Linked DNA regions of Saccharomyces cerevisiae S288C. Changing the gene in region 2 together with the main gene of any one other region gives a genetic interaction. Each region holds a gene or a part of one and is shown on either strand. Other genes may lie near its edges. The genes, in order: ZNF1, RFA3, CLN3 and MVD1.

What was found.
Region 1: mutations in RFA3 (region 2) and ZNF1 together harm fitness more than expected from each alone (negative genetic interaction), as found in Saccharomyces cerevisiae (one large-scale study listed by BioGRID).
Region 3: mutations in RFA3 (region 2) and CLN3 together harm fitness more than expected from each alone (negative genetic interaction), as found in Saccharomyces cerevisiae (one large-scale study listed by BioGRID).
Region 4: mutations in RFA3 (region 2) and MVD1 together harm fitness more than expected from each alone (negative genetic interaction), as found in Saccharomyces cerevisiae (one large-scale study listed by BioGRID).

Annotation. Positions count from the first base shown.
Region 1 is NC_001138.5:26,404-30,193, forward strand, and holds ZNF1 (DNA-binding domain containing protein), read left to right. Parts: upstream 1-1,828; coding exon 1,829-3,226; downstream 3,227-3,790. Other genes in the region: YFL051C (uncharacterized protein), read right to left, coding at 3,655-3,790. UniProt on the Saccharomyces cerevisiae protein: Transcription factor that regulates respiratory growth and plays a critical role in stress adaptation during non-fermentative growth.
Region 2 is NC_001142.9:95,627-98,167, forward strand, and holds RFA3 (Rfa3p), read right to left. Parts: upstream 904-2,541; coding exon 535-903; downstream 1-534. Other genes in the region: KRE9 (Kre9p), read left to right, coding at 1-296; CPS1 (Gly-Xaa carboxypeptidase), read left to right, coding at 2,111-2,541. UniProt on the Saccharomyces cerevisiae protein: As part of the replication protein A (RPA/RP-A), a single-stranded DNA-binding heterotrimeric complex, may play an essential role in DNA replication, recombination and repair.
Region 3 is NC_001133.9:65,253-69,230, forward strand, and holds CLN3 (cyclin CLN3), read right to left. Parts: upstream 2,269-3,978; coding exon 526-2,268; downstream 1-525. Other genes in the region: Rho family guanine nucleotide exchange factor CDC24, read left to right, coding at 1-152; holocytochrome c synthase CYC3, read right to left, coding at 3,464-3,978. UniProt on the Saccharomyces cerevisiae protein: Essential for the control of the cell cycle at the G1/S (start) transition. CLN3 may be an upstream activator of the G1 cyclins which directly catalyze start.
Region 4 is NC_001146.8:700,204-703,658, forward strand, and holds MVD1 (diphosphomevalonate decarboxylase MVD1), read left to right. Parts: upstream 1-1,691; coding exon 1,692-2,882; downstream 2,883-3,455. Other genes in the region: MRX15 (Mrx15p), read left to right, coding at 1-257; COQ2 (4-hydroxybenzoate octaprenyltransferase), read right to left, coding at 338-1,456. UniProt on the Saccharomyces cerevisiae protein: Diphosphomevalonate decarboxylase; part of the second module of ergosterol biosynthesis pathway that includes the middle steps of the pathway. MVD1/ERG19 converts diphosphomevalonate into isopentenyl diphosphate.

The DNA.
Region 1 (3,790 bases), on a different chromosome or scaffold from region 2:
CAATGAGTCTTTTGAATCAACCGTAAGGCAGTTCCATAACCACTGCCACGAATACGTTTCACTACCTTGAAGAATCTCTAATGTAGGCCGTATTCTTCGCACTTAGTTCTGACGATGTAGACATCTCATTATATAAGAGCATAAGCGCCTGTTTCTAGAATCATTTCTTCGTGACCCAGCTTTTTGAGTTATTTCGCGGTATTTTGAAACATTTCTCGAGCTTGACGTGAACATCCTTATATTTCATGACAAACTCGATCATTGGAACATCCCTGCCTCGATTTTAGAGCTAGTATCAAATTTCAATCTCTTTGTGATGGAGCCCCGCTCCTATTTCAAAAGAGAAGTTTCTTGTATGCATATGTTATTGAAGTCTGATTATAGCAAGTGCAATGTCGTCTCAATTATTTTAACTATTTTTAGCCATACATGTTAGTTATCCTCAAAGAGAGCCTCCAGACTGGGAAGCAGTGTTTGTCATTTCAAATAAGTAGATTTCACAGTTTGTATGATTTTCGAAGCCAGGATTCATTGGGCTTTGAGTAAAGAGAAGCCGCGTATTACGAACAGCTTACGATATTGTAAAATATTCCCTTATTGTGGTGCCCCAATGGATACATGCCAGAGAAATGTCTGTGAAATTGAACAATTACAATGACGAGAGCAAGTAATCCGGCGGCCTTGTCTCTCTTTCACTAGTACCGTCTATATCTCTTGAGCGCCAATATGCGAAAGCTTTCACAAGGTTGATGTTCATGGTATTCGGCGTCGATAGCGAATTGCTTACTAAGAAACATTAGGGTGCAGTACAGCCTTGTTTTTCCAGTTCGACTAACCTTTTTCTTGGCAGTATGGAGACTGACTAGGTCTCCCAAACATTCATTGTAACTGCTGTTTAAAGATTTTGTTCTAACCTAAATTCAAGTGAGAAGCTGAACATGTGTCTCTACTTATGATATCACGACAGCAAATACTAATCTTGCCATAAATAGTCTAGCGTTTTGCAACTTACCTCTAGATATATTTTATTTCTTGAGGAACCGTTTTCGTCGGTAATAACAAAATACTACTGAAACGCCACAGCATTGAGAGAATACGTTATCGATTACGGCTTTCTTCTCGCTCCAGATGTCGCGGGTAAGATATTCACCTCAAACTTTTCTTGTTGAGTGTCGTCACAAATCTAGAACCTACATGCCATCTCAACGATTTTTCTGGAGAAAGGCCTCACTCCGTTCCGTACGTAATGCATAGATAAAGTATCAGGATCTTCACGATGCTCGAGAGTTACTTAGTAGTCTGAGTTTATGCGAAAAAAACTCCGCCGTTGTAATAATCGGGAATACACAGAAGTAGTACTGCACTATCACTGGGATACTCAAAAACCTTCTTTTTAACTTTTCTATCCCACAAATAGAACATAGGAAAGAACATTGACTCCTCCACTTGAAGTTAAATTACAGGAACAAACGCCTAACTATAATTTCGACATTGTTGCATCAACGAATCGACCGAAAGAAAAATCTGGAGTTGCAGTTATCACTTGTATGTGCACTAAGATTTATATTTTTACTCCTGAGATCTGCCAAATCGGTAGCTTATTGAACTGCGTTCCTTTTTCCCCTGAGTTCTCGAGGTACCTGCGGCTTTGTCTGTGCCATCTCCCCCACTTTAAAGTACCCCACGTTACTACCGCGTTTTTCCCCACCCCCGGCTTAATAAATTAGCTATATCTTGTTGACTTAAATACGGAGAAAAGAAGAAAACCTTCAAGAAATGCTTCATTGTCTTGTCAAAAGAGCTAAAGTAAAAGAGCTCTAGTTCGAAGATGGCCCGCAATAGACAAGCGTGCGACTGTTGTTGCATTCGTCGAGTAAAGTGTGATCGTAAAAAACCATGTAAATGTTGTCTTCAACACAATCTGCAATGTACATATCTTCGACCTTTGAAGAAAAGAGGTCCAAAACCCGTCAAGGTGAGAAATTTAAAGAAAGTAGATGATGTACAGGTATTTAGTAAAAGTAGTAGTGGTGGCATAATGAAGGTTCCAAAGGCACTAATTGATCAGTGTCTGCGGCTCTATAATGATAAGTTGTATGTGATCTGGCCTTTGCTGTGTTATGATGATCTTTACGAACTTTTAGAGAAAAGATATGACGAAACCTGTGTGTATTGGTTCCTGGTATCTCTTTCTGCCGCCACGCTTAGCGATTTGCAGACTGAAATTGAGTCGGAAGGAGGGGTTACCTTTACTGGGATACAGTTATCCAGTTTCTGCATGTCATCACGCCAAGAATTTGACGATTTTAACGGTAGTGATATATTCAAGATTATGACGTACTATTGTCTAAACCGCTGCTACGCACAGATGTCCAACTCAAGAACTTCGTATCGGCTTTCTTGTGAAGCCGTGGGGCTCATTAAGTTGGCGGGGTTCCATCGCGAGGAAACTTTGAAACTTCTTCCTTTCGATGAGCAGCAGCTTGGAAGGAAAGTTTATTATTTGCTTCTCTTAACGGAAAGATACTTTTCTGTGTATACGCATTGCGCCACGAGCCTGGATACCACGATTGCTCCACCACAACCGGAGAACGTAACGGACCCCCGACTATCTCTCGACAGCTTCTTGGAGATGATTAGGGTATTTACTGTACCGGGAAAATGCTTCTTTGATGCTCTAGCTACCGACTCTGCTAATGTAACCTGTACTGAAGACTCCCTTAAAAAGATATGGAGGGAACTTCATACGGTGCCACTTGAGATAGAACCATGGTCTTACGGCTATGTAGACATATCTTTTTCACGGCATTGGATTAGAACACTTGCTTGGAAGCTAGTGCTTCAAATAAGCGGTATGCGAATCAGTTTCCTTTCAAATAGCAAGAATACGCATATTCCAGTAGAAATTGCTAGAGACATGTTAGAAGACACATTTTTAATCCCAAAAAATCTTTATGCAGTTCACGGTCCAGGGATATCAGTGAAAGCACTAGAAATAGCCGACGCATTGGTAGATGTTGTGAATCAGTACGATCAAAATGCAGAGTCGGAGGCTTGGAATTTTTTGTTCGATATATCCAAATTTGTCTTCTCTCTTAAGCATTGTGATAGCACATTAGTTGATAAGTTTACGACAAAGTGTCAGTGTGCGCTTATCACGCTTCCTCTTTCTAATCCGCTTGAATCGACAGATGGTTCTAAAGAAGATGTAGATGCGCTTCCTTAAGTAAACACATTGCTACTTGCATTTTACCTTTCAAGATGTAGTGATTACGGACAGTTGAAGAGGCTAATAGCATCTATTTCTTCTTTAGTATATGGTTCCTGCAGGGCAAACAATTATTTCCTTTGCAATTTTGCGGCAGTGGGGAAGAATGATAGCACTAATAGTGAACTTGTGGACAATTATGCTATTATAGCAAGAAAAAAAATTTATTTTTTTTTCAAGGGGGGTGATTGTGATGTGAATTAAATCAAGGATATACGCTTTTATCGTCATGATAGTCGTGCGATTTGTACTTGGTTATAGATGAAATGAGTTAGTTTTTAATAATTGTGATCACAATATAGCTGTACTTATCAGGCCATTAAAGTTTCCTGTAAGGTGCACGAGAAGTCATGGTCATAAAATTATCAGAATCTCCAAGGAGAGGTTCAACGGCGTCGGTTGCCCATACTCCATATTAAGTACCCTGTCATTTCCACAGTTACATTAGTTGGAGTAGTATAGAAACCAAAAAGATCAGAACTCCAATAGGCAGTATTTGGGTCACAGTATTCAGTGTCACGT
Region 2 (2,541 bases):
CGTACACCAAGCAGACTGGTACGTCGCGTTTCGCTCCAATGCAAATGCAGCCAAATACTAAAGTGACCGCTACCACATGGACAAGGAAATTTGCCACTAGTGCTGTGACATATTACTCTACCTTTGGGTCATTGCCAGAGCAAGCAACTACGATAACTCCTGGCTGGTCTTATACGATATCATCGGGAGTAAACTACGCTACTCCTGCATCTATGCCTTCAGATAATGGTGGTTGGTACAAACCATCCAAGAGATTGTCTTTGTCTGCAAGGAAAATCAACATGAGAAAAGTATGAAAAATAGACGGCTTCTACTATCATCATTACAGTAAGGGTTGAAGTCAGGAAAGGTTAAAAATAAAATAAATATCAAAAAGTTTTTAGCGGAAGGCGTTAAGGCAGCAAGTACACATTCATTTATCTATCTATACATCTATAAACACAACTACAATTTTTTTAGAAATGGAATTTATTATATGAAGGGAAGACATATAGAGGCAACAGTACATAAAGGTAAGAATAAAAGCGATTTTAGCTAGTATATTTCTGGGTATTTCTTACATAGTCTCTGTAAAGCAACCACACCGTTTAAGCTTAAATCTTCGTTCTCCTTGAATTTGCATAGTACAGCGTCTAGAATCAAAAATCCTAGCTCGCCGTCATCATTGTTCCTGCAAACAAACTCATACCACGAGTCGATCTCAAATGTTTTATTCATAGATACACGAATATTGTTCAACGTAATCATTTCAACCTCGCTGCCGTTTTTCGATGATATGGTTGGCGATTGTAAAATCAACTGAGATTCAGTGGGTTGTGATTTGATTTGCGCTATTATCCTAAACACAGGAGCATTGACGTTGGAGATTTCTGTGGGGTCAACTCTTGGTGTTTCGCTGGCCATTTTTACTTGTGTTACTGGTAGACGATGTTCTACAAGAATGGTGAAGGGTGTGTTATATTGCTCTTTATTTAAACACGAACGAAAAAAATATCGCGTATTGCCACATTTGGCGCGTCAATATTAAAGAACGAAGGCATTATATAGGGCGACTTGTCATGATTCCAACCATGGCATGGGCGGTGGATGCTTCTCAGCAGTGGCCCATTACGTTAGTCAACGACTGTTGGCTGTCATCTGTTCTTGTTGGGTGCTTGCAGCTGCATCGACAAACATGGATGGATGCCTCTACATATATATATATATTTATGTAATGGACCTCTGAATATTTTACTATGTAACTGACTATAGGAGATACCACTGGTGCTGTAGTACAATTTAGCACTTGCAAGCGTTGACACAGTTGTTGCGAAGGCCTCTTTCTTGTAGCACTTAATTGGAGTATGACTGCCATCATGTAGGGAAATTATGAAAGCATAGGATCAATCTTGACGTTGCAAAGAAGAAGAGACTTGCTGTTCCCTATTGATCACTTACCGTTATTGGAGTTCATATGGTACTTTTTTCATAATTTTACGAGTAATCCCTAGTGGTAGTTAATATTCAGCAAATAAAATACCAGTTTGAGACCAAAGGTAAGATAAGAGTTTACTGATAAAGACAAAGAATTGGGATGACCTAGTCCAAGGGATTATAGTACCTTCGCGAGTATTGCATATAAGCTTTTAGCGATACACAAACAAAGCGACACCGGGATTTGCATATCGCTTGTTCCTACGACGTTGTCAGTTCCATAACCTCTGATTTCCCATACGGATTTTGAAAATCAGCTACGAATAGATAGTCTTTTTCTATTTTCAGTAAATGTGTCATTGAAAAAAGTTTCTTTAGAACGACGCTTTTTGCAGGCTACTAGAAACACCCACTTCTAGTAGCTTTACGTGACGAATTGAACCGCGTGATCTTGTGCACTGTTATCCTAAATGCTCAATGCTCAGAACATCTTCTTGTTATCTCAGCCTCGCCACCCTTATCTTATCATAGCGGCCTTTTATTTTCCCCTTTGGGCAAAATACGATACAGCCTTCCAAGGTCGGGCAAGAAAGTTTATGACATATAAAAGAAACGGGTACCCCAAATACGTCTCTTCCCATTGTAAAACTAATCCTGCATCATCACATTAAGGAATCATTCATCTAACAATTACATTATGATCGCCTTACCAGTAGAGAAGGCCCCTAGAAAGTCCCTATGGCAAAGGCACAGAGCCTTTATTAGTGGAATAGTTGCCCTTATTATCATCGGCACCTTCTTCCTCACTTCGGGTCTCCACCCAGCACCACCTCATGAGGCAAAGCGTCCACACCATGGAAAAGGTCCCATGCACTCACCCAAATGTGAGAAGATTGAACCATTAAGTCCATCATTCAAACATTCCGTCGACACAATTCTTCATGACCCTGCCTTTAGAAACAGCTCCATTGAGAAACTGTCCAATGCTGTTAGAATCCCCACTGTAGTCCAAGACAAAAACCCCAACCCCGCAGATGATCCGGATTTCTATAAGCATTTTTATGAACTACACGACTATTTTGAGAAGACTTTCCCTAATATTCACAAGCATTTGAAATTGGAGAAAGT
Region 3 (3,978 bases), on a different chromosome or scaffold from region 2:
CACATAATAACAACATTTCACCAATCACCAAGATCAAATATCAGGACGAAGATGGGGATTTTGTTGTGTTAGGTAGCGATGAAGATTGGAATGTTGCTAAAGAAATGTTGGCGGAAAACAATGAGAAATTCTTGAACATTCGTCTGTATTGATAAATAAAACTAGTATACAGCAAATACTAAATAATTCAAGAAAAAAACATTAGATAGAGAGGGGCAGATGTTCAAGCTATACCCATTATATTGATCCACACTTAGTATTAAGATACGTCTGTGAAGGATGAAAAAAAATGTATAATGTGACTAGAGGAAGTAAGGAGAAAAAACGATAGTAATCGTATTTTAGGTTGTGCGTTTTTATAATTTTTTTTTTTTTGTAATTCTATGCAAATGTAATATAAGTATATTTAAAGAAATAATGAGTCCTGTGAAAACAAAAAGAAAAAAAGATCATTAATGTATGTTAACGTATTTGCTTTGCAAATTTTAATTTATTTGTTGTTAAATGCATTTTTTTTTTGTCGTTTCAGCGAGTTTTCTTGAGGTTGCTACTATCATTAAAATCACAATCCACAGAGGAAGTTGATCTCTTTTTCAGTTGGGTGGGGGCAGAGCATGGGTGAGCAGTGGCCATGGGTCTAACAGGAAATAATCTTTTTGAACGCACAGATAAATTTTGTAATAATTTTCTATTTGACATTAGAGATGGGGTGGTGGGAGTTAGTGGGCTTGGCCAAAAGATGCTTGAATTTTGTGGGATGCTCAGTGACCTTTTAAAAGAATTTTGGGTAGAAGAGAACGAACCTGAATGTGAATGGTGTGATGCAGAGTCTGGGGTCGTCATTGAACTTGAAGTCTTGTAAGGGGAATTGAATGGAGATGGAGAGGATGAAGATGAGGTTGGAGTGAAGGCAAATGGTGGAGAAATGCTATCTTTGGTCAACCTTCTTAAATGAGTGTGATCCGAGAAATAGTCTGTGGCCGCAGATGAAACCGTAGCGCTCTTTGGAGTAGTAGCATTTGAGTAAACACAAGTCAATGAATCGCTGTCAAAGGACTGAGCAAAGATAGTATTGTACATGGTTTCCAATTCTTGTGAACGGTAGAATTCTTCCAGTTTCAATTGAATACAATAGTTTTGTAATGCGTCTAAGAGAGATTTTGCTAAAGATGTCTTATTGCTATTCAAATATTTTGATTTGAAACTGGAGGGGAAAGAATTTTGGTCCATTGCTATATCCAATAAAGTATTAGAGATTTCTGACAATTTAATATCTAGGTCTTGGCAGTTTTCCTCCAAAGCCAGATTGATATTTTCCCAAAGGTTTGAATTATAGTAGTTCAAAGATAATTTGATGAGGTTAATTGCACCCAGCGCAATTAGTGAACGATCATATTTAAATGATAATTCGAGATTGAAGGAAGCTAACTCGCACAACATAATGGCACCCAATTTGATCTCGTTGATGTTCAAAGAGGGGCCTTGAGAAGAGGACGATTTATTAATAGCAGTACCAGCAGCGTTATTTAATAAGGCCAGTTTCTGTTGAATGAAAGCTTCCAAAGGGGCAGAAAGGACAACGCCAGGCGATAACGGGGACGTAGATTGGAACAAGAAGATGTCGATGTAGGAGTCGAATGTTGCCGACTGACAGATGGACCAATCGAGTGATTTGAAAAGATGCATTTCCATAGTCGTGAATTGCTTTATAGAATATTGATTGCAACACAAGTTTTGCAAGACTTTCAAAGTGGCCATTCTATTCTTGGAGTCCCAAAATTTGGACGAAATCCAAAGCGCGGTCAAGGACAAGAGCTGGTAGTTGTAACTCTTGATAATGAACCGCGAGGAATACTTGTCCAAGATAGTGAAAGTAAGGAACAAAGTCGAGGTCGATAGATTGAGTCTTGTGTGACAGTACATGATGAAGTCAAAGATCAAGAAACGCATCTTCGGATTAACTTGTGGCTGAGAGTTGAAGTTAGTCAGGTTGTACAGCGGCCTTTCTGTGTGGGAAAGACGGAAATAGTGGTCCAATTGATCATTATTGTATTCGCTGATCGCTGAGTGATGTGCTTGCAATTCTCTTTTAACGAGATTAGGGTTTTTAGACTTTGCACTAGCAATGGCCCGCCTCTTTTGCAAGAGCAAGGGCAAATTAGGACATGAGGCAGCGCTGACAGAGGCGGCAGTGGCGGTGGAAGTGCCACTAGCGGTAGCATACCTTGCATTAGCGTATCTAATTATGGTATCCTTCAATATGGCCATCGTACAGAAAGCGTATCAAATCAGTGTCTTGAACGAGAGTAAAAGGGAGATGCAATGGAATGTAAGAAATGCTATGGGTCAGAAAAGAAATGCAGAGGAGTTAAACCGAATGAGGAAATGCAATGGATACGTTAAATTGGAGATGTGAGATTGCGACTGGGACTCGGATGGATGCTTGCTTTTGGATGCTAGTACAGAGAAAAAAGAGGGAGAAAAGAAAAGAGAAATAGAAAAAGGTTGGTTTAAGTCGGCAGAGGAGACTACTCGGGCAATTCGTTTCCTAATGGGTATAGTCCTCTTTCCTCAGAAATCCATTTGACTGGCAGACTCAGTAGTAGAAGAAAAAATCAAGAAAGAAATTGTGTGAAAGTATACTACACAAGAAAATGTTTAAGAAGAAGATTAAAAGCTCGAGGAAAGTACAGATATACAAATTATAAATAGGTAGGAGGAAGAAAAAAAAAAGATGAGGGCAAAAACCCAAGGCCAAATATGGAAATGTGGCAGAGGGACACACTAATCCGATAGTAAATTTATGTAACTTGATCATTACAGTGAGAGCAGGCTTGGTAATTTCTTTTTCTTGCCTGATAATTTTTCACTTTTTCTTTTTTTTTTTCTTGAAAGTTCACAATTTAGGGTTTGAGCACAGCGTTTGGTTGCGACACTTCCCCAGAAGGAAAACCGGCCTCTTTGGCTGGGGAGGGAAGAAGGGGGAGGAGAGCTCAGAAAGCCCTATCGCGATATGAGGGACCGATCTGTATCAGCATACTTTCGGTATCATCACGGTCGCAGGATAGAGATAGTGAATGAGTTAGCTGTTTTACAGGCCAAGCGTTCAAACGAGACGAATGGCGACATTTGCCCGTCAAGAAAACCCGCCGAGTTTTTTCCTAAACGGGTAAAACAGCCATGCACCGCAGCACGTCGACGAGGTGATATTTCCAATTTGGGAAATTTCCCAAATCAGTAATGTAGCCTCTACGGGTGTCTCTGTCAGCCCCGTGGTCGCCAGCACAGAATGTATCGTACCCCTGAAGGTAGTTTTTTACCGCCGTGGCACACGATAAAGGTGCACCTTGTGATAATAAGGTGGAAAAATATATATGAAAAAGTGAAATTGATTGTGGCTGCACTAGGACATCATTATTTCTTACTTGGCTATTTACACGTACTTACGCTGGCTGTATATCATTTAAGGGGCGGAGGACGAAGAGGACGGACCCGAGATCATCCGGTCCAAGAAACGGGTCATCCGGTCCTTAGCATTGTCTAGACTATCTAGGGCAGGACGGACATCCACGTGGAAAGTAGGCATTCCGTTTTCGTCGTCGGGCCCTCCGTAGAAATCCAAGACGTATCTAACTTCCTTGAAGGTTGGAGGTTGTTGTTCCGCTTTGCGCTCGCCTCGGAGTACAATCCAGTCGTGCCTGTCGAATGGTAGTTCTTGGCTAAAATGGGACGGAAACAGTAGGCCGCACAGGTGCATCCAGCGAGCACGAGGGCTCAATACGCCCGGTTTCCCCATGAATTTCAGCAACTTAGGCTGCACGTGGCTTTCATCTGTGTGCGGTTTTTCCCATTCGAGCACTTCCTGCCAGCACCCTTCATTTAGAAAGTTGTGGACCTGCACCATGGACTCCACTGCATCTTCGGCGACTTCGCCGCTACCGCCAATCTTGCCCTTTCTAACCATAGCATTGTACATCT
Region 4 (3,455 bases), on a different chromosome or scaffold from region 2:
ATAAGGCCACCTTTGTTTTCTTCACAGTGGATGAAAAAGCACCCTCATTTTTCAATAAATTTTACATTTTCTCGAGATCTGGTAGCGTTGTGAAGAATGACGCCAGGATCTTGGACTGCTTTTTCAACAGTGTGGCAGAAAATAAGCTATTGAACAGGTCAATATTAACTCAGATCCTTTCACATACGTCTGCCAAGACCCTATTTCACTCGGGGAATTCTAGATCATCCATCAAGAATATCGTGAAGCCCAAATAGGTACGGACATCTACGTAAGAATGCATGTAAATAATAATCGAATAAAAGAACAATTAAACACTTGTATATGCACGCTATATCTACAAGAATCCAAACAGTCTCAAGATGTAGTCGACTGCCAAGGCGTACGTAAAGTAAAGTCCGGTGTTGATATTTGCATTAAAATACTTCCAGCAGTTTTTAGGATTGTCAAGATCCACTTTCTTTATCATGCTGAAGAGTCTATAAGCGAAGACTCCTAGTCCACCAATGAACCCAGGCCCCCATAACAACCCACTGTTCAAGCCGGCGACAGCTAACAGTGCGATTTGAGACGCGGACATGGCCTTCATGATAGACTTTGTGCGTGGACCCCAAGCCAAAGCGGTAGACTTGATTCCAGCCTTGATGTCAAACTTTTTATCCTGGTGTGCGTATATAGTATCGTAAGTCATACACCACAAGTAACTGCTCAGGTACAAAGGTATCATTGTAGGCCAGCTCATTACACCCATGGCAGGAAACCCAAGTAACGCTCCCCAATTGAAACATGCACTTAATGCAGCTTGAGGATAGTACGTAAACCGCTTAAACAAAGGGTATGTGAACACAATAGGTAACGATGCAAGGCCTAGCCACCAACACTGCGCAGGAAGCAAAGATAGAACGCCCATTCCAACAAGAGTTTGAGCCCCCAAGAATACTAACGCCCGACGGGGGCTCACTCTACCAGAGGCGATAGGCCTCTCGACGGACCTGATAACTCTTTGATCCAACTTTCTATCCAAAAAATCGTTGATGGTGCAGCCAGCACCTCTCATTACCAATGCACCTACACCGAAAATACCCAACATACCAGCTGTTGCGCTCAATGTAGCACCTTGCATCATGGCTCCCATAAGTATAGACCAACTGCAGGGCAAATATAACAGCCACGTGCCCACGGGTTTCTCTAGCCTCATCAGCTCCGCATACGGTATCCATTTCTTAGGCAGCCGAGACACGAACGGTCCCAGTCCATCCAATCTTTCCTTTCTTGCAACTTCCAACTCTTTCGACGTAAACACAGGTGCTGATTCTTTCGAGGAAGGGGAGGAGGAGGAGGAGGAAGAAGACGTATATCTCTTTCTGCTGCTTCCAATGATTCCAGCAACGGTAACTCGGCCGCTGCCCAGAATGGACCTCCCTAGTAAAATACTCTTTCTCTGCCAAATAAACATTAGTTGACACTGTTATTCTACGACAGTTATTTCTACTGTAATCTATAGTATACTCCGCCCTTCTGATAACCTTACTTTTAATTTTGGCCTGATTCTTGTGAAACTTTTCCACGATGCCGAAATCGCCGAAATGGCTCGTTTAGCCTTTTCTCGAAGATTGATATATAAAGAGCATCCATCGTGCTGGTAATGGTGATGCAAGATTGAAAATTCCCAGACAGTGAGCACCAGCACAATGACCGTTTACACAGCATCCGTTACCGCACCCGTCAACATCGCAACCCTTAAGTATTGGGGGAAAAGGGACACGAAGTTGAATCTGCCCACCAATTCGTCCATATCAGTGACTTTATCGCAAGATGACCTCAGAACGTTGACCTCTGCGGCTACTGCACCTGAGTTTGAACGCGACACTTTGTGGTTAAATGGAGAACCACACAGCATCGACAATGAAAGAACTCAAAATTGTCTGCGCGACCTACGCCAATTAAGAAAGGAAATGGAATCGAAGGACGCCTCATTGCCCACATTATCTCAATGGAAACTCCACATTGTCTCCGAAAATAACTTTCCTACAGCAGCTGGTTTAGCTTCCTCCGCTGCTGGCTTTGCTGCATTGGTCTCTGCAATTGCTAAGTTATACCAATTACCACAGTCAACTTCAGAAATATCTAGAATAGCAAGAAAGGGGTCTGGTTCAGCTTGTAGATCGTTGTTTGGCGGATACGTGGCCTGGGAAATGGGAAAAGCTGAAGATGGTCATGATTCCATGGCAGTACAAATCGCAGACAGCTCTGACTGGCCTCAGATGAAAGCTTGTGTCCTAGTTGTCAGCGATATTAAAAAGGATGTGAGTTCCACTCAGGGTATGCAATTGACCGTGGCAACCTCCGAACTATTTAAAGAAAGAATTGAACATGTCGTACCAAAGAGATTTGAAGTCATGCGTAAAGCCATTGTTGAAAAAGATTTCGCCACCTTTGCAAAGGAAACAATGATGGATTCCAACTCTTTCCATGCCACATGTTTGGACTCTTTCCCTCCAATATTCTACATGAATGACACTTCCAAGCGTATCATCAGTTGGTGCCACACCATTAATCAGTTTTACGGAGAAACAATCGTTGCATACACGTTTGATGCAGGTCCAAATGCTGTGTTGTACTACTTAGCTGAAAATGAGTCGAAACTCTTTGCATTTATCTATAAATTGTTTGGCTCTGTTCCTGGATGGGACAAGAAATTTACTACTGAGCAGCTTGAGGCTTTCAACCATCAATTTGAATCATCTAACTTTACTGCACGTGAATTGGATCTTGAGTTGCAAAAGGATGTTGCCAGAGTGATTTTAACTCAAGTCGGTTCAGGCCCACAAGAAACAAACGAATCTTTGATTGACGCAAAGACTGGTCTACCAAAGGAATAAGATCAATTCGATATGTAACATTTTTCTTTTCTTTTCTTTTCCTTTTTTTACAATAGCTAATTTACGTTTCCCTACGGTATTGGTCGGAACGACCAAGCTTCAATTTATAAATATCTTAATTTTAACAGCAGTTACCACTTGAATGAGAAACTTTTTGATGCCTACTCTTTTGCTTTTTCATATCATGACCTCCCTACATGCTTCGGAATTTCCTTATTCGTAGCTGTCTAACAGCACCACTTAGCACAAGTACGTCCACCCGTTTCATACTTAAAGATCTCAGCAGCCACCCAATCTACATTTAGGGTACCTGTCACATATCTTCTCAAATTTTAGGTTAGCTTTCAATTGTAAAGTCTCTTTTTGGATATTGCACGTTTCAAGTCAAAACGCGGCTGTAACATAATTTTCTGAAACAATATTAAAACATAGTAATGACTTAAAACAAGCGACTATCGCAAATAAGCAGTTCCCAGCAAGCAATTAAAACGTATATAAGCGCAGAATAATGATCTATCATCAATAATTATCGTGAACTTTTCCAGTATTTACGTTCATCTTTGAAAAACGGCG